2 linked regions of the Rattus norvegicus genome follow. The protein of the gene in region 2 purifies or fractionates together with the protein of the main gene of each other region. This does not show direct contact. Links are inferred from orthologs where the notes say so. Each region holds a gene or a part of one and is shown on either strand. Other genes may lie near its edges.

The links.
Region 1: the proteins of Swsap1 (region 2) and Spidr purify together in Homo sapiens (co-immunoprecipitation; 3 studies listed by BioGRID and IntAct, with this or other methods). This does not show direct contact. The link is inferred for Rattus norvegicus from reciprocal best matches to the Homo sapiens genes SWSAP1 and SPIDR.

Annotation. Positions count from the first base shown.
Region 1 is NC_086029.1:98,507,706-98,514,480, forward strand, and holds the start of Spidr (DNA repair-scaffolding protein), read right to left. Parts: upstream 4,025-6,775; 5' UTR 3,990-4,024; coding exon 3,957-3,989; intron 3,913-3,956; exon of another isoform or gene 3,758-3,912; intron 1-3,757. UniProt on the Homo sapiens protein: Plays a role in DNA double-strand break (DBS) repair via homologous recombination (HR).
Region 2 is NC_086026.1:28,759,273-28,765,829, forward strand, and holds Swsap1 (ATPase SWSAP1), read left to right. Parts: upstream 1-3,480; 5' UTR 3,481-3,782; coding exon 3,783-3,797; intron 3,798-4,367; coding exon 4,368-4,961; 3' UTR 4,962-6,009; downstream 6,010-6,557. UniProt on the Homo sapiens protein: ATPase which is preferentially stimulated by single-stranded DNA and is involved in homologous recombination repair (HRR). Has a DNA-binding activity which is independent of its ATPase activity.

The sequences.
Region 1 (6,775 bases), on a different chromosome or scaffold from region 2:
CACATGTTGGCAAGGATGTAGAGAAAAAGAAACATTCCTCCATTACTGGTGGGACTGCAAACTGGTATAACCACTCTAGAAATCAGTCTGGAGGTTCCTCAGAAAATTGGAAATACATCTATCTGAAAACTCAGCTATACCACTCTTCGGCATAAACCCAGAAGATGCCCCACCATGCCACAGGGGCACATGTTCCACTATGTTCATAGCGGCCTTATTTGTGATAGCCAGAAGCTGGAAACAACCCAGATGTCCCTCAACTGAAGAATGGATACAGAAAATGTGGTTCATTTACACAATAGAATACTATTTAGCTATTAAGAATGAGGGCACCATAAGTTTTGCAGGCAAATGTATGGAACTAGAAAATATCATCTTGAATGAAATTACTCAGACCCAAAAGGACATCCATGGTATGTACTCACTAATAAGTGGATATTAACCAAAACCTCACAGAATACCCAGGATACAATCCCCAGAACTAAAGATTAACAAGCCAAAGGGCCCAAGTGAAGATGGTCAATCCCACTTGGGAGGGGAAAGAAAGCAATCATGTGGGGCAGAGGAGGGAAGGACCTGGGGAGGAAAAGGGACAGGGAGGGGAGAAGGGGAACATGATCAGGTACTGGGGGGTGGGGGAACAGAAGTGAAGCCCTGAATGCAAACAGGCAACTTCAGAAGGTAGGAGGTGGTGGGACCCTCTAGAATGTACCAGAGACCTGATTGGTGAGAGACACTCAGGACTCAGCTAGGGAACCTTAGATGAAATGCCAAACAGTGGGGAGAGAGAACTTGTAGAGTCCACCTCCACTAGAAAGACAGGACATCAAGTAGAGGGATGGAGATGCCATCCTACAGCCATTATAAAGATCCACCAAACTTCTATCTAAACAGCTTTCTTTCTTCCCTATGCTCCTATTGTCTAAAATTAACCCTATTCTAATAGAACTCAATCCTTCTAGAACAGTGAGAGACTCTTAACTTTCTGATAGCTCCTTCTCTTCTGCCTTCTTGAAAATCAAAAGCCATACTTCAGTTCAAATGAAAGTTCACACTATGTAAATAATGTCTACCAAGTGATAGCCATCGAGCAAGAGGCACTTATCAAAAAGATCTGCTGATGAGAACTGGAAGTGGTGTTGGAGACGGCCTGGCCAGTTTTATGTCAACTTCATACAAGCTATGGATATCCGAGAAGGAACCTCAATTAAGAAAAAAGCCTACATAAGATCAGGCTGTAGGCAAACCTGTCTGGCATTTTCTTAATTAGTGATTAGAGGGGGAAGGCCCAGCCAATTGTGCAAGGTGAGACTCCTAGGCTGTTGGTCCTGGTTTTTATGAGAGTAGGCTGAGCATGCCGTGAGGAGCAAGTCAGTAAGCAGCACTCCTCCATGGCCTCTGGGTCAGATCCTGCCTCTAAGCTCCTGCCCTGCTTAAGTTCCTGTCCTGACTTCTTTTGATGATGCACTGTGATATTTCCATATAAACCTTTCCTCCCAAAGTTGCTTTTGGTCACGGTGTTTCATCACAACAATAGTAATCCTAAGTCAGAAGGTGCCATCAAAAAAAGGTCATGTTCCTTATTGCTCTTATATATAATCTTTAAAAGTCTATCCTTACTCTTTAAATGTGCTCACATTTTACTGTAGGATGCACATCTCACAAGAGTATCATTAGTTTAGAAATATCTCTCTGGCTGTTATTTAGGTTAATAATATCTTGTCAAGACCTCTATGACCAGGAAGTTGAAGAACTGAAGCTGATATTCAAAATTTCTAATCAGGGTATTTCTCCACATTTCTTCACACTAGAACACTTGCAAGTTCATCAGATATTTACTGGTAATGGCGGTTGCTCTAAGCAGCATAAATTGGAGACATCATTCCTAATTGTATTTATTCTACGGAATCAAAAGCATAGACACAAATAATCCCAAATCTAGTCATGAAACTGTTAAGAATGAAACACACAAAATTCCGTCGGTATACAAAAGAAAGCGCCTGAGAATGAGAGGGAAAAGGCAGGCTTTGCTACCTGCAATAAGCAGAAGTGGGGGAGGAGGGGGATTATTTCAAATCAAGAATATGAGCAAACACCAAGTCAAAAAGAACAATAACAACAAGTCTAACTTACCTGAGGATAAATAACAAGAGCTATAAACTTTGGAAAGTGTGAAAGATAGCATGAACACAAAGCAAGATCTGAGAGACGACCTGAGCATAAAATCCTAATTTCTTTTTACTTGACTGCTGTGTATATTGGGCAAATCACTTAACCTCCTGCTAGGAGTCACTTTCATCATCCATAAAATGAGACAAAAAAATATCTTCTTCAAAGGATTGAGAAAAGGATTAAATGAAGCTTGATGTGGTGGCTGGCATTTAGAATCCCAGCAATGGGAAGGTAGAGGTAGGATGAACACTGCAGGTCTCAGGACAGCCTCATCTACATACTAATTTCCAAATCTGCCATAAGCCCTGTTCCCTCCACCAACAGCAAATTAATTAGATAATTAATTAGATACTAGCTAATTAATTAAATGAAAACCAGGTGTGGTGGCATATGCTACTTGTAATCCCAGTAATTGAAATGTAGATCCATAATGATGAGTTCTAGGTCACTAAACAGTGAATTCGGAGCCAGCCTGTGTTATATGAGCCTGATTCACTTGCTGTTGACAAAGTTGTGAGACACCCTACGGAAATTACAAACTGAAACTTACCAACCCCCACCTCAGTGAACTTGGGAGAAGACTCTGGGAAACAACCATAAGGTTAAGCTACACTCAGAATCTTGATAGCCATACTTGTTGAAAGCTGCTTCACTTTTGAAGCAATCTTTACATAACAATTAAGTAGCACAACTACTGAAAAGAAAAACTATTGAAAAATAATAAAATGAAGAGGGCAGAAAGAAATAAAAACAACAGATTTCTAAGTTAGGAAAAATCGTTAGGGCCTGGTAAACTAAACAAATAATTTCATAATACATTGTTTATACAGTTGTGACAGCTAAAATCAATGTAAAAGACTCCAGGGCAAGTTCTTAAAGTTGACAAAAAGCACAGTCAAAATTTGGAGCTGGGCAGTAAGGAAAATTAAATAAGCATCTATGAAGGTGAATTAGGACTTTAGGGACGCTTAAATAAATGTATACTGGTGGCAAGGGTATCGAGGGCTGCAATAATTAATTTATGTTAGATTTAGAAATGTTTTAATTCCTTGGGTTTTTTTTTTCACATTTTAGTCTTTCTGAAATAATTAGTCTTTTAAGTTATACGTGCTTTAACTCCCTAAATCAGCCACAAAGTTCGCAGTGTGGTCTTTCAGGGCTATCTGCGAAATAAGAAAGAATGGTACTGCTAAAGGAATTGAAGCATTTAGTGAAATAAAGAGCAAGCCAAGGTATGAGGCACCGTTTGCTGTTCTAAATTTTAAGTATTACGAAGCAAACATCTGTAAGTGAGAATCTTTGAAAAGGCAAATATCCAAGAGGCACACAATGACGGAGAAATGAAAAGGATCACTTAAACATCCACCCTGTAACAGTTCCTACACTCCGTGCCTACAGTATACAGAGACCGCGGGAGCCACCGGAGAAACACATCCTCTTAGAAAGTTTGGGCGGGAAAGCAAAGTGTAATGAAAGATGCCTAGAGCGAGTCAGAAGAGATTCTCCAATACCCACTACACTCTTAGTGTGTTGAGCAACAGAATAAAACGGAGGCAAGTGAACTGCCAGGCGCCAGCTCACACACTCTTTCCGAAGGTTTCCAGAACCACTCAGCGCAGACCTGGGCAGAGCCAGAGAAACCAGCCCAGTCCGACGAGCCACCAACGGGCTCGGGCCGATCAGACTGGGCGCACCAGCTCCCTTCACGCGACTAGGGGCAGGGGTGAGAAGCCCACGGAGGTTGCGCGCCGGCCCTCTGCTTCCAAAGCAACAGCACGTCGTACCTTGGACACGCCGGGGCGGCGGGTTCCAGACATGTTTAACAAGCACCGTCCGCCCCTCTCACTCTCAGCCCCTTCCGGAAGCCATTCCCTCCCTCCGGAAGCCCCGCCCCCTTACCTCCGAAGGCGCCTCCCCCAGAGCCGCCCCTTCCCGCGCCCCGCCCCTTCCCGCACCCCGCCCCTTGTGAAAGCCCAGTCTCGAGTTCCACAGAATCAAGCTGTAGGGTCTGCTGTTGTAGGCTCATCCTCTCCCTCTGGGGAGCCTGGGAATTTGATCTACAGGTCACCCGCTCTCCCAGCTAAGCAAGACCTTAGAGATGTTCTATTTCAAATTGTGTTTTGTAGAGCAACACTGGGCCATAAAATAAGACCCCCCAAATAAACTAGAATTCAATAATTATTGTAATTAGTAATAAAACATAAGTAAGCCAGGGAAATGAATAGTACTTCCCTACCTAATGAGGAATTCTTAAATATCAAATTCATAAATATCAAGAGCAAAGAGTTTAGCGGATGTGTTATGAAGTAGATTTCACATACTGTAGATCTAAGGAAAAGCCAGAGAGCTTACATTCTTAACTTTCTAGATGCTGGTTCAGAGATTACTTTAATTTGGAAGATGAATTCGTTCTTTGGATGTTTTGGATCTGTTTGGCAGCAGATGGCACTGCAATGTGAGTAGAAACCATAGGTGCTGGGCAACTTCTTTGTGTAACTTCTTGTGCCTTCAGACCTGCTCGGGTCCTGGTCGCATATATACCACTTCCATTTGACTGTAGATTGATGCTGTGCATGCTCTACTTTAAGACTTGGTGGGTCAGATAATAGTAAGCACACGATGGGCAGTTCAAGTCACATACAGATGACAGTAGAGCCTGGCTCCAAAATCTCAATACTCTCTCCTGTGATTCACTCATGGGACCCTGACGAAGGCTCCAAACAGCAGCCCTATCTGCTACTGAGACCTTAAGTACCATTGGTTCTGCTGGGTCATGTGGTCCAGTTGTGGATCAGGCTGCAATGTGGCCTGTATCCATTGAAAAGCCTTCTGTTCCAAGCCCTGCACAAGGCCTGAACTCACAAAGCAGCTTTCTGAGTCACTTTGTATATGGGCTGGAATCAGACCTCAAGTGAGGAATGTGCTGCGTCCAGAATCTAAACGGGCCCACTAAACAGTGTATGTGCCTCTTTCCTGGTGGTGGGAGGGGCCAAGTAATAAGTTATCCTTCCGGGCTGGGGATTTAGCTCAGTGGTAGAGCGCTTACCTAGGAAGCGCAAGGCCCTGGGTTCGGTCCCTAGCTCCGAAAAAAAGAACCAAAAAAAAAAAAAATAATAATAAGTTATCCTTCACCTTAGAAGTAATATCTCTACATGCCCTACTCCGCTGAATTCCTAAGAATTTCACTAAGATATCAGTTAATAACCTTGAATTTTGGTTCGATTTATTTTCCTACCCTATGATGCACATAAGTGTTACCGACAAATCCAGAGTGGCTGCTACCTCCTGCCCACCTGGTTCAATCAGCATAATGTTCAGTATAGTGAGCCAAATGTGTTATTTTGTGTAAAACAATTGGGATTCCTTCTAAGGGGGCTTTAGAGTTAATACATCCTTGAGGTAAAACAGTAACTATACTGTTGGCCTTGTCAGCTGAAAGCAAGTTCCTTCTGGTGGTCCTTATAATCAGGTACCAGGAAAAAAAGGATTTGCTAGAGCAATAGCTGCATACCATGTACCAGGAGAGATGCTCATCTGATCAAGGTAAAGACAGCACATCATCTATGCAGCTACAATCAGAGTCACTACCTGAGTGAAATTTCAATATCCAAGTATCATTCTCCATGATTTATCTGTCTCCTGCATGGGACAGGTAGAAGTGTTAAAGGGAGATGTGGTGGTAACTATGACCCTTGCATCTTTCAAGTTCTTTCTGAAATTCCTCCAGGGGGGCAATACTGTTTTTTAATTCAGTATTTTCCTGGAGTAGAGACAACTCTAAAGTCTTCCCTTGGCCTTTCCAACCATAATAGCCCTTACTTCACAGATCAGGGAACCAATGTGAGAATTCTACCAACTTCTAAGGATGGAGATATATATATATATATATATATATATATATATATATATATATATCACCAAACATACATTCTGAGTCTGGAGAAATAACCACAGGATGAGTTCAGGGACCGGCTCAACCTACTACTGTGAGTCAGACTTCAGCCAAAACTCCATTTATCACCTGACATCCATAAGCCCTTACCTTATCTTGAGGGTCACAAAGTTTCCTAGGATCATGGAGAATCACAGTCAACTCAGAACTAGTAATCTTTAAACCCTGAAAAGTATAATTGATTCCTTTCCCCAGTGTAGAGTTATCCTCATAAAATGACCTGAGAAAAGCTTACAGAAAACTTTTAGGTATTTTATCAAGGTTGTTCCTAGGATAACCTGGCTACCCCTTTATTCAAGGGGTCCTGGGTCTGCCAAATGGATCAAGTCTAGAAATTGTTTCATAAGCAAGACCCCCTTTGCCATGATTTCGTATCACCTTTCTTTCATTTGTTTGAAAACTTTTTTGCTTATACAGATCTAATCAAAATTCAATAGGTTTCTTATCCATTTCATGCTTGGAAACACCATGATTGATTAGCTAGCACTGCATGCCCATATGACTCATGCTAACATAAAATTCTCTTTGCTTGGGCAAGCCATTATGGGTTAGGCTATATATATAATATATATTATATATATTTTTCTGTCTGTCTGTGTCTGTGTCTGTGTCTGTGATTTGTTAGAACCACTTTCAGGCTTCAGTCCATCT
Region 2 (6,557 bases):
TCCCAGCAACCACATGGTGGCTTGCGACCATCTCTAATGAGATCTGATGCCCTCTTCTGGTGTGTCTGAAGACAGCGATGGTGTACTCACATATATAAAATAAATAAATCTTAAAAATTAAAGAAAAAAAAGGGCTGGAGAGATGTCTCAGTGGTTAAGAGCACTGACTGTCACTTACAGGGGTCCTGAGTTCAAATCTCAGCAACGACATAGTGGCTCATGACCATCTATAATGGGATCTGATGCCCTCTTCTGGTGTGTTCACAGTATCTACAGTATGCTCATATACATTTGGAAAAAAATTTAAAAAAAAGAGATGGGCAGTGGTGGTGCACACCTCTAATCCTAGCCCCCAGGGGTCAGAGGCAGGTGCATCTCTGAGCTGACAGAGCAAGTGCCAGGACAGCCAGGGCTACAGAAAGAAGCCCTGCTTAAGAAAAAAGAAATATGGAGTAAAATAAACAGGGAGGGAGGCTGGAGGAGAACAGTGCACTCTGCTCTTGCAGGGGACCTGGATGCAGTCCCCAGCACTCATGGTGGCCCAGTTTTGACTTCTAAGGGCACCAGTCTCATGTGGTACACGTAATACCACATAATGCATGCGGGCAAACTTTTATAGCCATAAAACAAAAAGAAACAAAAAATTAAGTGGGGACAAAAACAAAAAACAAAATAGGGCCAGGGCTGTGTTTAGCTCGGTGTGCAAATGTTCACTTAGCACATGTAGGGCCTTGTGTGCTGAGAGAAAGGGAGGAAGAGCAACCAGCAACCAGCCAGTCAGTCAAACAAACAAACAAACAAATAAACAAACCCAGAGCTAGACAGAGAGAGCCCTTAGAGCCAGCTCTCCAGGGCAAGGAGGAAGACGTGGAAAGGACCTCTGGAGAGTGTGCTCCTGTGACCTGGGGCTTGTGCAATTGCAGTGTCAGGCTGTGTCTGGGGTGGGAGCTGGAGGCTGAAGCACCAGACTTTCTAGAACAGTATAACTGTGCTGAGGGTGTATGTGCGTTTGTAAGCAGAATCCCAATCACATAGTCATCTTAACCTGTGTCCTGGTGTGTGTGTGTGTGTGTGTGTGTGTGTGTGTGTGTGTGTGTGCGCGCGCGCGCACGTGTGTGTGTGCACATGTGTGTGTGCATGTTGTTTGTGTGTGTGGTGTGTGTATGGGGTGTATGTATGTGCATGGTATGTGTGTGTGTATGGTATGTGTGTGTGCAGGGTGTGTATATATGCATGGTGTGTGTGTGTGTGTGCAGGGTGTATGTATGTGCATGGTGTGTGTGTGTGTGTGTGTGTGTGTGTGTATGTGTGTGTGTAGGGTGAAGGTGCCCAGCTGTGTGTGTGGGAGTACTGGGGGATGTTGTGGAGCTGTTTTCTGTCCCCAGAGGGAGAGAGTGAGCTCAGTAAATCACAGTTCCGCCCTGTTCCTGGGTCTCCAGGCAACCGTACCACTTTGAAGTTACTAGGAGACGAGGTTTCCAGGGAAACTCAGGCTTGAATGACAGCTTTAGAGCCAAGTTTGGGTGAAGAGACTGGCTGAGCAATCAGGATCACTCACCTTGGTTCCTCAGTTCTTCCTCCTCCATTCAGTGACTTAACAAGGATCGCACGTCTCCAGTATGGTCATAGACTCTTGTGAATGAAGCCCTTGTTCTCTTATTCTCTCCAATTTCTCTCTCTCTCTCTCTCTCTCTCTCTCTCTCTCTCTCTCTCTCTCTCTCTCCCCCTCCCTCCCTCTCTTCTTCCCTCCCTCCCTCCCTCTCCCTCTCCCTTTTCCTCTACCTCTCCCTCCCCATTCCCAGTCCTGAGAAATGTTCTCTCTTCTGTCAATAAAAGCAAGCATTAAGAAGACCCTAGGGGTTGGGGATTTAGCTCAGTGGTAGAGCGCTTGCCTAGCAAGCGCAAGGCCCTGGGTTCCGTCCCCAGCTCCAAAAAAAAAAAAAAAAAAAAAAAAAAGACCCTAGACCAAAGAGAAAGTTAGATGACAGACCTTGTCAAGAGCCCTCATACAGGGAGCTCGAGAGGGAGCATGGGTCTCGCGCTGCGGCTGTGATGGCCATCGGGTCTGGCACACGCAGCAATGAACAAGACACAGTATTGCAAATGAGATAGAAGGCAAGGACTGACCTCCACACACTCAGGGTGACACAGGCGATCCTGCACACGCCCCCACAAAAAAAGATTAAAAAAAGTAAAACAAAAATCAGGATCAGTGAGATGGCTTAGGGGATTCTGAGCCCTGAAGGTCTGCCATCCAGGGAATATACATGGTGAGGGAGAAAGAACTGAATCCCATCCCGGAACTAGTCCTCAGAGCACATGCACCCTGTGTCATGGGAGTTTCTAGACTGCTTGCTCGGCATGTACAAAACCCTGAATTTCATCCTCAGCCTTGCATGAATTTATCGCGGTGGCATAGGCTAAAATGTCTGGGGCCCTCCTTAAAAAAAAAAAAAAGGCCAAATCTATGAGTCTGTAGCCCGTAAAAACCACCCCCATATTCCAATATGCAGAGACTAGCAGACAGCTATCCCTTTCCACCTGTGAACTTTCCTTCGGTGACCTTAGCAAATCTTCTCACCAACATATTGTAATGATCACATAGAATCACAATATTTATTTTGCAGGTGGGCAAGCTAAGAGTCTGGTTTGTTTTTTTGTTTGTTTTTTTTTCTTTTTTTTGGAGCTGGGGACCGAACCCAGGGCCTTGCGCTTGCTAGGCAAGTGCTCTACCGCTGAACTAAATCCCCAACCCCGAGTCTGATTTTTATTATTAGTGTTTTGTTAAAGATAGGTGCTCATGTAGCTCAGGCTGGTTGCAGACCTCAACATTTGTTGAGGGGACCTACTTTTTTTCTTTTTTAAAAGAGACGGTTTCTGTAGTCTGGTCTTGAACTCAGATCCGCCTGCCTCCACCATTCAAGTGCTAGAATTAAAAGTGCGCCGAGCGGCTTCTACTTTTTTATTTTTAGATTTATTTTTACGTGTGTGTGTGTGTGTGTGTGTGTGTGTGTGTGTGTGTGTGTGTGTGTGTGTGTGTGTGTGTGTTTGTGTGCGCGCGCGCGCACCCGGAGGGCCATTAGAATGTGTGCCACGTGCAGCGGAGGCCAGAAGAGGGCGTCGGATTCCCTCAAACTGTAGTTATGGATGGCTGAGAGTCACCTAGTAGGTAGTGGGAACTGAACGTGGGTCTTTTGGAGAAGCAGCCAGTGCTCGTAACTGAGCCATTCTCTCCAGCTCCGACCGAGAGCCTGAGCGTCTCTGGGGAGCGCATTTGGACCCTCGCTCGACCTTCCTTTTAATGGACCACGCGGCTTCTTGCAGCAGATTCCCTCAAGTACCCATTTCCTCCACTCTCCTTGTTTTGACCATTTGCCGACAGCTCCAGCAACGAACCTAGACAGTGAACTATAGCCAATGAGGCCTCGGTGTGGGCGGGCCCAAGATGAGATCTCGCTTCTGATTGGACAGCGGTACTAAGCAAATGGCGGAGGCGCTGAGGCGGGTACTAAATGCGGGCCGCGCGGCAGGGCCCGGAGAGGATAGCAACCCCGGGCCGCCCTTGCTGTTGCTCGGCGCTCCGCGCTCTGCGCAGACGTCGCTGCTGTTTGCCGCGGCTCTTGAGGCAGCAGGGGAAGGCCGCGGGCCCGTCCTCTTCCTGACGCGAAGGCCTCTTCAGAGCCTGCCTCTCAGTACACCCGCAGCGCGAGACCATTGGCGGCTCCAGGTAACCGGAGGGCTGGACCTGGCTATGCGTCACCCAATGGCGGGCTAGGTTGCTCATGAGTGACAGTTCGGTAGGTAAATGGCAGTGTGGATCGTAGATTTACTGCTAAATCGTCATAAAGTCTATATGGGAGAGGTGGGTGGAAGAAGCGAAGTAGGCACCTGGGACGGGACAGTGCCGGCTTAGTTGAAGATTAAATGAAAGACCGTCCTGCGGTGTTGCTGAGCATGGGTGCCAAGCCAAAAAACAAACAAACAAACAAACAACCCCCCCCCCCAAAAACCACCAACAAAAACATGTGCGAAGCCCTGGGTTCTTTCTATCTCTTTAACCAGACTTAGTAATATATGCCTGGGATTCAGTTCTTAGGAGGTCAGAAGTGTCAGACCAGCCTTGTTCACAAAACGAGTTTGTGATCATCCTGGACTACATAAGATTCTGCATTAAAGAAAATTTTTTTGGGCAGTGATAAGTGCTGGAAAAGGGCGGGTAACAAGGTGAATATTTGAGCTGGTGCTTCATCCTGGAACTTTCCAAATGGACCATGAGAGCCTCGACCAGAAAGTATGGAAGAAGTGAGGTAGCCGTAATAGAGAGTTTTGACCTCCTATATTAAATCTAGCCTTTTCCTATCTTCTAGAAGATTCGATTCCAGTACCCATCCTCAATTCAGGAGCTTCTCCAGCTGCTAGCCTCTGCCCATGAGGCCCCAGCGCCTGTCCCATCCCTTCTACTCCTGGATGGCCTGGAAGAATATTTAGCAGAGGACCCAGGGACACAGGACACCGCCTACTTGGCTGCATTGCTTCTGGATACTGCTGCCTATTTCAGCCACCGGCTTGGAGCCAGTGGCAACTGTGGGCTTGTGGTGGCCCTTGAAACCCAAAAAGAAGCCGATGGTGATGTCCCACATCTGGCATTACTTCAGCGTTATTTTCCTGCACAGTGCCGGCTGCAGCCAGATGCCCTAGGCTTGGGACAGCATTGCTGCCTTCGAGCTAGCCTAGAGACAGGCAAGCTGAGCCCCAGGACAGAGTGGTCAGTGACTTTCTTACCTGGTGGAGAGATGAAGATCACCCCATGGCCTGCCCAGGCTTCTAAGCTCAGCCCAGACCAAAACTGTTCAAGTGCTGGAAGCCAGTCTTTAACTTTGGGGTGTGACAACCTCCCTAGTCCCAGGTTTCCCTTGGATGGAATACTTACCTCAGGGACAGGTGCAGATTCAAAGACCTGAGAATGTAGGTTTCCTGTTTATAAACCAGCATCATTGTTGTTGGGGGCTGGCAAGATGACTTAGGAGGTCAAGGGTCTTGGCCACCAGCGTGATGACTGATTCTCAGGACCCACGTGGTAGAAAGATAGAACGGACTCCTGGAAGTTGTCCTCTCACCTCCACACATGCCCTGCACACTAATAATAATACTAAATTAATAATGAAACCTTTAAGACAAATAAGATCGCTGGAGCCTTCCTCTGTCCACTCACCATTGTTAATGAGATTCAGCCATATTTCCTAGTTCATTTCTTTTTATCTGCTGCATTTTTTACCCAGAATGGCTCTCTCGTAAGTCAGGCTAGTCTCAAACTAGATACGTAGCTGAGGCTGTCCTTGAACTCCTGATCCTCCAGCCTCATCTCTTGAGGGTGGGGCCTATGGTGTATGCTCCTATTCTTGGCTCCTCTTGCACATTCCATGGGTGCCTGTATCCCGGTTACCTCTGTGTGTTGACTTACCGACTGTTAGGGTCTAGTCATACACATGAGCTTACACAGCACTCAGGGTGTGCAGTTGGGAGTGGATTCGTTCCATGTAGAGTATGCATACATCTAGCTTTCTTAGGACATACATTTTTAAAGTCATTTGACGGAAGCTGAGCATCATGGTGTGCAAAATGGTAAGGCCAGCTTTGGGAGGTAGAGGTGGGAGGTCACAAATGCAAGGCTAACCTTGGCTACATAAGGTATTGGAAGCCATGCTGACTTACACTAGATCCTGTCTCCAAAAACCAAAATGGGCCAGGTGTGGTGTGGCACAGGCCTTTAATCCTAGTGCAGAGGCAGGTGGATCTGTGTGTATGTGTTTAAGGCCAGCCTGGTGTATGTGCCAAGTTCCAGGCCAACCAGGGCTACAAGGACAAAAACTAGAGAACTGGAGGGAGAGCTCAGTGGTTAGGAATTCTGTCACCGAGTCAGCTTTGGTTATGCATGTGTCTGAGTCATTTCCCTGAATAATCCCTCACCCATGTTCCTGCATAACTCCAGTAAAACTTTATTGGTTCACCAAATTGGACTTTGGTGGTATGTGTACGTGGGTTTTCTATCTGTCAAGTAGACGTCTGTTCATGTCCCACAGGGGTAGTGTTACCAACCATGGAGAAGGCATTAGGTTTTGGAGCAGCATATATTAGCAGCTAGCGAAATGTACACTGACCATTATAGTCTGTCCTCATATCACCAGATCCAAAATTTCAGTGCTCACTCTTTGTTTCCATGGGCTAGGTCCAGGCAAAGACGGGGTACCCGGAAGGGAGGGTTGTGGTGCAGTCCGCAGTCTTTGTGGCAACCCAAAGGCAGACAGAAGAGACTAACAGAAGCGCACAGGCAGCTGGCCTGAAACAGGAAGTAAGGCAGGAACAAGGTGCTTTCCCTTGAGGTGAGAGGAGAGAATCAACTTCCAGGCATGAACGGAGGCAGACACACAGCCACACTCACATCATATATACACAAATAAGACAAAGTCACAGTAGAAAAATCAATATATATATATTTCTATATACAGACATAACTATCCATCTTAACATTGCAAGGCTGTCACTTCCTGGGCAGAGGG